Bombyx mori: one gene and its partner. The protein of the gene in region 1 purifies or fractionates together with the protein of each later gene. This does not show direct contact. Links are inferred from orthologs where the notes say so. Each region holds a gene or a part of one and is shown in the gene's direction. Other genes may lie near its edges.

Evidence for each region.
Region 2: the proteins of ran GTPase-activating protein 1 (region 1) and importin subunit beta-1 purify together in Homo sapiens (affinity purification with mass spectrometry; 3 studies listed by BioGRID and IntAct, with this or other methods). This does not show direct contact. The link is inferred for Bombyx mori from reciprocal best matches to the Homo sapiens genes RANGAP1 and KPNB1.

Annotation. Positions count from the first base shown.
Region 1 is NC_085117.1:343,116-346,615, reverse strand, and holds part of ran GTPase-activating protein 1, read left to right. Parts: intron 1-794; coding exon 795-897; intron 898-1,604; coding exon 1,605-1,716; intron 1,717-2,182; coding exon 2,183-2,278; intron 2,279-3,500. UniProt on the Homo sapiens protein: GTPase activator for RAN. Converts cytoplasmic GTP-bound RAN to GDP-bound RAN, which is essential for RAN-mediated nuclear import and export. Mediates dissociation of cargo from nuclear export complexes containing XPO1, RAN and RANBP2 after nuclear export.
Region 2 is NC_085110.1:11,420,956-11,425,076, forward strand, and holds the start of importin subunit beta-1, read left to right. Parts: upstream 1-1,321; 5' UTR 1,322-1,459; coding exon 1,460-1,517; intron 1,518-2,290; coding exon 2,291-2,532; intron 2,533-2,906; coding exon 2,907-3,087; intron 3,088-3,242; coding exon 3,243-3,502; intron 3,503-3,909; coding exon 3,910-4,096; intron 4,097-4,121.

The DNA of each region.
Region 1 (3,500 bases):
TCGTATTTATAGTGAAAACCACAACTATAACTATAACTATAACTTGTATATATGCGCTTTATCTTGAAAATGTCGTAAGCGAGATTCAGGCATCTGTCAATTATCTTGCGTTGTATGATGGCTACCCGCCACATTGCGGCTTAACTATAATAGTTAGACATATGCTGTTGGGACACTTTTTGTGAATAATAATGTGTTCTACAAAGTCGTAGGACATTATTTTATTCTATCATCAATGGTTTTCGCAGGGCACGCGATGTAAAGAATATTTTAGGTAATTTTTTTACACCTTGGGTTACATTATTGGAGTTTTAGTAAGGATTCCTATTTTTTTTTCAAAAAGATTATAGCCTATGTCACTCGGTAATAGTGTAGCTTCCAAACAGTGAAAGAATTTTTGAAATCGGTTCAGTAGTTTCGGAGCCTATTCAATACAAACAAATAAACAAACAAACAAACAAACAAATCTTTCCTCTTTATAATATTATTATAATAGTATAGATTACAAACTTAAGCCTATGTGTTCGGTAACATGTCAATTACACAATAAGTCTGTTTAACCATTGACGTTCCAATACTATAAAAATGCAATTTTCTACAAACTGTTGAGTTGAATTTAAGTTTGGAATTGTCATGTTTATTAACGGTCCACTTCAGATCATCAAGCTCTGTAAATAGACAGTCCGAATGTTATTTTAAAACTTATATGTAAGATTGGTTTTTCTATGCACCCAGAGTCACCGCTACAGACCATTTTCTTATTCCATTACAGCATTAAAAGTTGTTTGTTACAGATTAAAGAATCTTAAAAGTATTAACTTTGGTGATTGCCTCCTGAAGAGCAGAGGAGCAAGAGCTTTGGCTAAAGCTTTCAAGGGAAACTCATTGCTATTAGAGGTACGTATGTATATATATTAAATTATATAACAATCATTTGCATTTCTCACACGTACCAGCTCTGCAATCACTATTTATCTTATTGCTTTTGTAAGCAGACGAGTATACAGCCCAATTGATGGTGACTGGTTACCGTCGCCCATGGACTTCAGCAATGCCAGGGGCAGAGCCAAGCCGCTGCCTATCGTTTAGGACCCTCTACAAACCTCGTTTGAAGAAGGACATGACAGAATGTTTTGGGAAACAGTGGAGGGGACTTCATTCCAAATTCAGATGGTACATGGTAGATAACATCCCTGGAAACACTGTTGACATAAGTTGTCGTGGCCTAAATGATAACACGTCCGGTGCATTCATATCGAGCGAAAAAAATTGGTACCTGCGGGATTCGAACCCTGGTTCAATATGAGTGCACCCGCCTTCTCTTATCCTGTAAGCCACGACGACTTCAACTGTTCTCTGCCTTTTTTTTATAAATAATTTGGCTTCAACGCCTTTGGCATTGATTTTGCCAATGTCAAAGTATTTACAAAAATGACAGGTGGTTAGAGAGAAAAAATTGCTAAATCTAAATGCAAATAAATTTGGTCGGTCTTTCCATACGCGAATCTGTGGTTTTAAGAGCAACTCAGACAAATATATGTTAAACTAACTACTTTTGAGATAAATATTATTAGCAGATAAAAATTTCTGTGCCTTTACTATAGTCTCTGGACCTCAGTCACAACGAGATCGGACGAGAGGCGTGCATGGAGCTGGTAGATGCCATCACTGAGCAGCCCGACAGCCAGGAAAGACTCAGCCGGATAGTTTTGGCAGGTCAGTATTATTTTCATCTCCGTACTAACCCATCTTGATGATTGGTATATGATCTGGCTGGTCATTGCTCAATTACTTTTACTGGTCCGTAGTCCGTACTGGATGGTTCCGCCAACCTGCCTATTTCTGCCGTGAAGCAGTAATACGTTTCGGTTTGCAGGGTGGGGCAGCCGTTGTAACTATACTGAGACATTAGAACTCATATCTCAAGGTGGGTGGCGCATTTACGTTGTAGATGTCTGTGGGCTCCAGTAACCACTTAACACCAGGAGGGTTATGAGCTCGTCCATCCATATAAGCAATAAAAATAAAAAACTTGATGCTTCGTGATATCTATAACATTCACATCTGTAAACTTGTCCGGCATCTACTGCCATAACGAAAGAGTCCTGATTTCTTTAACACACTACTAAGTAGTGACTACTTCATTAAGTACGATCTGTTTAGAACATTTTTAATTTTACAGGGAACAGCTTGGGCAATGCGGCCAACAAGAAGAGCCTGAAAGATAAGCTCGGTGCTTCAGCAGAGCTCAGCGATGGGGAGGGCAGCGATGATGAATGTAAGTTGTTTTTGTTTGGGTGGACCGGGTCATGGCTCATACCTCAGACTCTCAGACCTCATAAAATTTGTGACTCACAGCAACATAAATGATTGGCCTCACTCTGCGAAACATCGTGCCACATGGCGTCGCATCGCGAAATCATCGGTATCGCAGGATCCGACTGATGCATGACCACGACCACACTCACCAGAGTGTACGAATAGGAAGAAGAAGAGGTCATGGCTCATCTAGCACCACAGCCTGTTGACCTCACTAAAGTAACTGTCATTACCCACCTCGACATTTCAGTGTGAATGTGGCCTTCAAATACAATGAGGTCGTGGCTACATTTAGATAGTTTGCTTTATAACAAACTGTGATGACAGATGTGGACCGAAACCGGAGTAACCTGAATCGCGCCAACGACATTTCCAAGTTCACTTTACATAATAATATACAGATCGTCCCACAAACTGAATATATAGGGACTCTGTCAGAAAAGTCTCTTCGACGAAACAAAAATTGTTTCCAAGTGTTATTACTCAGTATAACCTATATATATAAAAATGAATTGCTGTTCGTTAGTCTCGCTAAAACTCGAGAACGGCTGAACCGATTTGGCTAATTTTGGTCTTGAATTATTTGTGGAAGTCCAGAGAAGGTTTAAAAGGTAGATAAATATGAAAATGCTCGGAATTAAATAAAAATAACAATTTTGTTTTCTCTTTGATGTGTTCCCCGTCGGACAGATTCCTTTGGTTTGTTTTAAGTTTATTTTATACAAAAGTTTAGGTCTTTTATTTATCGATTAAGGCAATACGAAGTCTCCCGGGTCAGCTAGTATAAATATAATTACTTACTAAGTAAGTAAGTACTACTAGTAAGGACTGTATCGGAACACAATGAACAAACTATTCTACTACCATCTCTTAAATCAGTGTTTCCCAACTTTTTTTTGCACCATGCCCCGCTGTAACATTTCTAAAATTTTTATGTCCCCCATACATCATTTTTAAACATTAAAAAATTGTTTTGTTTACTTTAGGAACATAAATGATAGGTTTTAAGAAAAAATCACTATGAAATGGTTATCAAAACACACTGTAAGTAGTATTTTAAAACATATAATAAAAAACTGAAATTCATAGTCAAAATAATTTTAATATACATTTTCTATATTTATTTAGTGCCCCCCTTATTTTATCAAATTACCTCCTTATGGGACGTGGGACACGCGTTG
Region 2 (4,121 bases), on another chromosome or scaffold:
CTCCCATAAAACCAATTTGGAACTGCCGAACGATTTTGTGAATCAAATTCAATTTCCGGCACGAGGTTTTGTGTATGAGTTCAAGAACGCAAACAACTTGTCCAAAGTAAATTTTTTTTCACTTTTTGAATTGACTATTAAATTTGACTGGTAAATAGAAGCGAATTCAAAGCTAAATAGATCTTTATCCTTAGACCTATATTCTTGTATTTTGAAATGTCTTATTTATGTATATCTTTACGAAGTTGCCGTTTTACAAGGCCATATTATTATGACACATCATGCATGCCTAGAAAAAAATTTAAATTCTAGCAATAAATCATAAATTCAAATTACCTAATCTTATTTATAAAATATGGAATTCTATTTTCAAATTCGGTCATTTGATTAGTGCTTTGTTTTCATCACATTCATGTTAATATAGGTATAGTAAAAATATATGTAATAATGGAATAAGAGTTCCATCGCGGCAACAATGCCGCACAAACAACCCACAACATTAATTATATATGTATGGAGTGAACACTTTGAGTAAGCCTTTCCGGAAATTTGATATAAAATACGAACGCCTAAATCTATACAATCATCAACGACGAATCAGAAGCGATCGTGGAAAATAACGACACTCAAGCTATCGTTGAATTAGCAACAGCTTTTAATGCTAGCATCAATACAATATAGGTTTATTTGCGTCAAATTGGGAAAGTAACAAAACTTGTTATGTAGTTGCTGTACCAATTGAACGATCGCCAACGCGACGAACGCATTAAAATATAAGTTGCGTATACAGTTGCTCGACAGACTCAGAAAGTAAGGGATTTTAAACCGCATTATTACTTGCCAAGAAAAAATTATTATTTTTAATAATTGTAAGCGGTCATCATGTTGATTATACCCTGGTTAAGCAATTAAGCAATGCCCTAAACAAAAACACATCCATAAAAGTCATGGTCAATATTTGATGGTCTAGTGCCGGTATCACACCTTCTGATCAAATGGCAACAGCATTACTGCAGATGTGTGACATGAGGAACTGGACAAAAGTTGAATGCTCGCATAAATAACTATTTGCTATTTGAGATTAATTATGGTAAATCCATTAGGACTTCTTGGAAAGCTTATCATTGTCATGATATATAACCAAATACTTGAAATTGAAAAACTTATTGTGGTTTATATGTGCCTTTTGGGGGAAATCGAGAGAAATTACACTTGATTAAATACCAAACACTTTTTTCTTGAAAAATCAGCTGCTAGCGACATCTTTACCAGATTTCGTGGGCCAGTGTCCTACACTATCACAATTGAAATAGAGTATAGATTAAAAATACCCTCTGCTGGCAACAATACTCAATAGCCAATATTTCATGAGTGTTCTTCCGTCGTCCGCCGGTTTCTATTTTTCAAAAAACAGGATTGAGTCAGTCTTTTGCAACATAAACTTAAGAATAGTGAAACAATGCACGCAGAAACAACATTAACGCTTATACAAATACTTGAGAAGACAGTTTCACCTGGTAAGTAATATGACTAACATCAACATGAACATGGATGGCGTTATAGAAAATAACGTACTTTTGCTACCTATAAACTATGCCATGATTCTGAAATTTATCCGGAAAAACTGTAGAATGGATAAAAAAATGGCATTTCTCAGCAAAAAGCATTTGAATTAAAACGAGACTGTAATTTTATCTAGTATCACCAACCGCAATGCTTACCTGTCATCCAGGAAACTTCTAGTTCAGCTTTCGAACCTCACGATGTCTGTGTTATTAACATTCAATGAAAAAGTGTGCTATAACTTTTGAATTCAATAGCTATTTTAATTCATTGTACATATAAAAAACAAAAAAATAAGTTTAAGGTTAGAAAATAGTGGATATTCTGTAGTATTAAATGAATAGGTAACGATTTTGTACATACATACCCTAATAAGAAAGAAACAATGTGCAACAGGGGCCGTATAAAATATATTTAAACAACATTATTTCAAAGTATAAAAATATTTATTAAGAAATTATAATAAAAGAAGTAGTGGTACTAAATAATCAATTGGTTTTGATGTTCCCTTGGCATGGATGACTTGGATTAGTGATCGTGACTACTCACCATTAGGTGGCCCATATTCTCGCCTGGTTTCAGTGGTAATAAAATACAAAAAAGACCTCACAAATTTGATTCTCTAACACCTTTTGTTTTCATGTGACATATCAGTATACAGACATAGTTAAATTTGGGGTACTTCACTTTGTAAATTATGTACTTAGATTATGGTTATTGCTTACAGATCGAAATGAATTGGAAGCAGCAGTTAGATACCTCGACCATGCTGCCACCACAAATTTCACAACATTCATCAAAATGTTGTCCGATGTCCTTCTCCAAGGTGGTAACAGTCAAGTGGCTAGGATGGCAGCTGGTTTGCAATTGAAAAATCATCTCACTTCTAAAGATCCTACACTTAAACAACAATATCAACAAAGATGGCTGGCTTTGGCAGAAGATGTTCGACTTTATATAAAAGAAAATGTAAGGCAATATTGCAAACAAGAAACAAGTGAAACATTGAAAAATTCACTAATAAGTTACTTAATAATAAAAATATATATAATATTATCTCTAAGCTAAATTGCTCAATTATTGTCTAAATAGCAATTCCCTGTATGTCTTACTTAGATTAAAATTAAAATTAGTAATAAATATAATTTAACACAACACTAATAAATACAAACACACAAGACATCTAAAACGTAATTACGCCACCCATCTTGAGATACAAGTTCTAAGGTCTCAGGTATAGTTATAGTATAGAGCTTGAACTAATGAAGGTGGAGAATCTGATAAGTTCCATCAGGTGTAGGTAACCAAGTTATATTTAATTTTAATACTAGTTTCTTTTTTAGATATTAGCTGCTATAGGAACAGAGAATAGTCGTCCAAGTTCAGCAGCACAGTGTGTGGCGTATGTGGCAGTAGCTGAGCTCCCAGTAGGACAATGGAATGATCTAATACCAATTCTTGTAGAAAATGTTGTTCATGTCCAATCTACTGAACTCAAAAAGGAAGCGACTTTGGAGGCTATTGGTAACTGAATGAACATTTGATAGTTAAAAGAGCTATGACAAATTATGTTATATAAATAAACAAAAAAAAAATTACAGTTTTAATTGTGCTTTATAACTAAAGGCAAATTGCTATTAATCTCTTTAACAATACTGATGTATTTCTTATTCTTCTAGGCTACATTTGTCAGGATATTGATGCTGAAGTATTAACAGAAAGAAGTAATCAAATTCTTACGGCCATCATACATGGCATGAGGTCAACTGAACCCAGTAATCATGTTCGACTAGCTGCTACTCAAGCTTTGCTCAACTCTCTAGAATTCACCAGAGCGAACTTTGAAAAAGAAAATGAAAGAAACTTTATTATGGAGGTTGTCTGTGAAGCCACACAGTCTAGTGACATGAGAATCAGCGTTGCTGCTTTGCAATGCTTAGTAAGTTTTATAAATATATAATGTGAATCCAAGTATTATATTTAAAATTAAAATAAAATACCACCTTAGCTACCACATTAGCTTTCTTCCCATGAAAGTAGAAAAAATTATATACCTCAGGAATATTACTTTTTTGTGGATAGTATCCTTTTATGTCCTTTTCTGTACTCTTGACAGCATTTATGTAAAATTTCATAATTAATGATTGATTAGTTAGATATGAAAGTGTATGAATTACAATTTATATTAATATTACATTTACTCAGTTATAAATTTATAATATTAACATGAATAACAAAGCTAAGACTTATTTTTTGGGATACCAGCTATTGACATGATTAAATTTAAACAATTACTGTATTAATTAATTTAAAAAATAGTTTTTAATCAAACAAAATTATCTTCAGGTGAAAATTTTATCACTTTATTATCAACATATGGAACCTTACATGGGACAAGCTCTATTCCCCATAACACTTGAGGCTATGAAATCTGATATTGATGAGATTTCATTACAAGGTATTGAATTCTGGTCCAATGTGAGCGATGAGGAAATAGATCTCGCAATTGAAGAAGCTGAAGCAGTTGAAGCAGGTATGAAAGTGATACTTCTATTCTC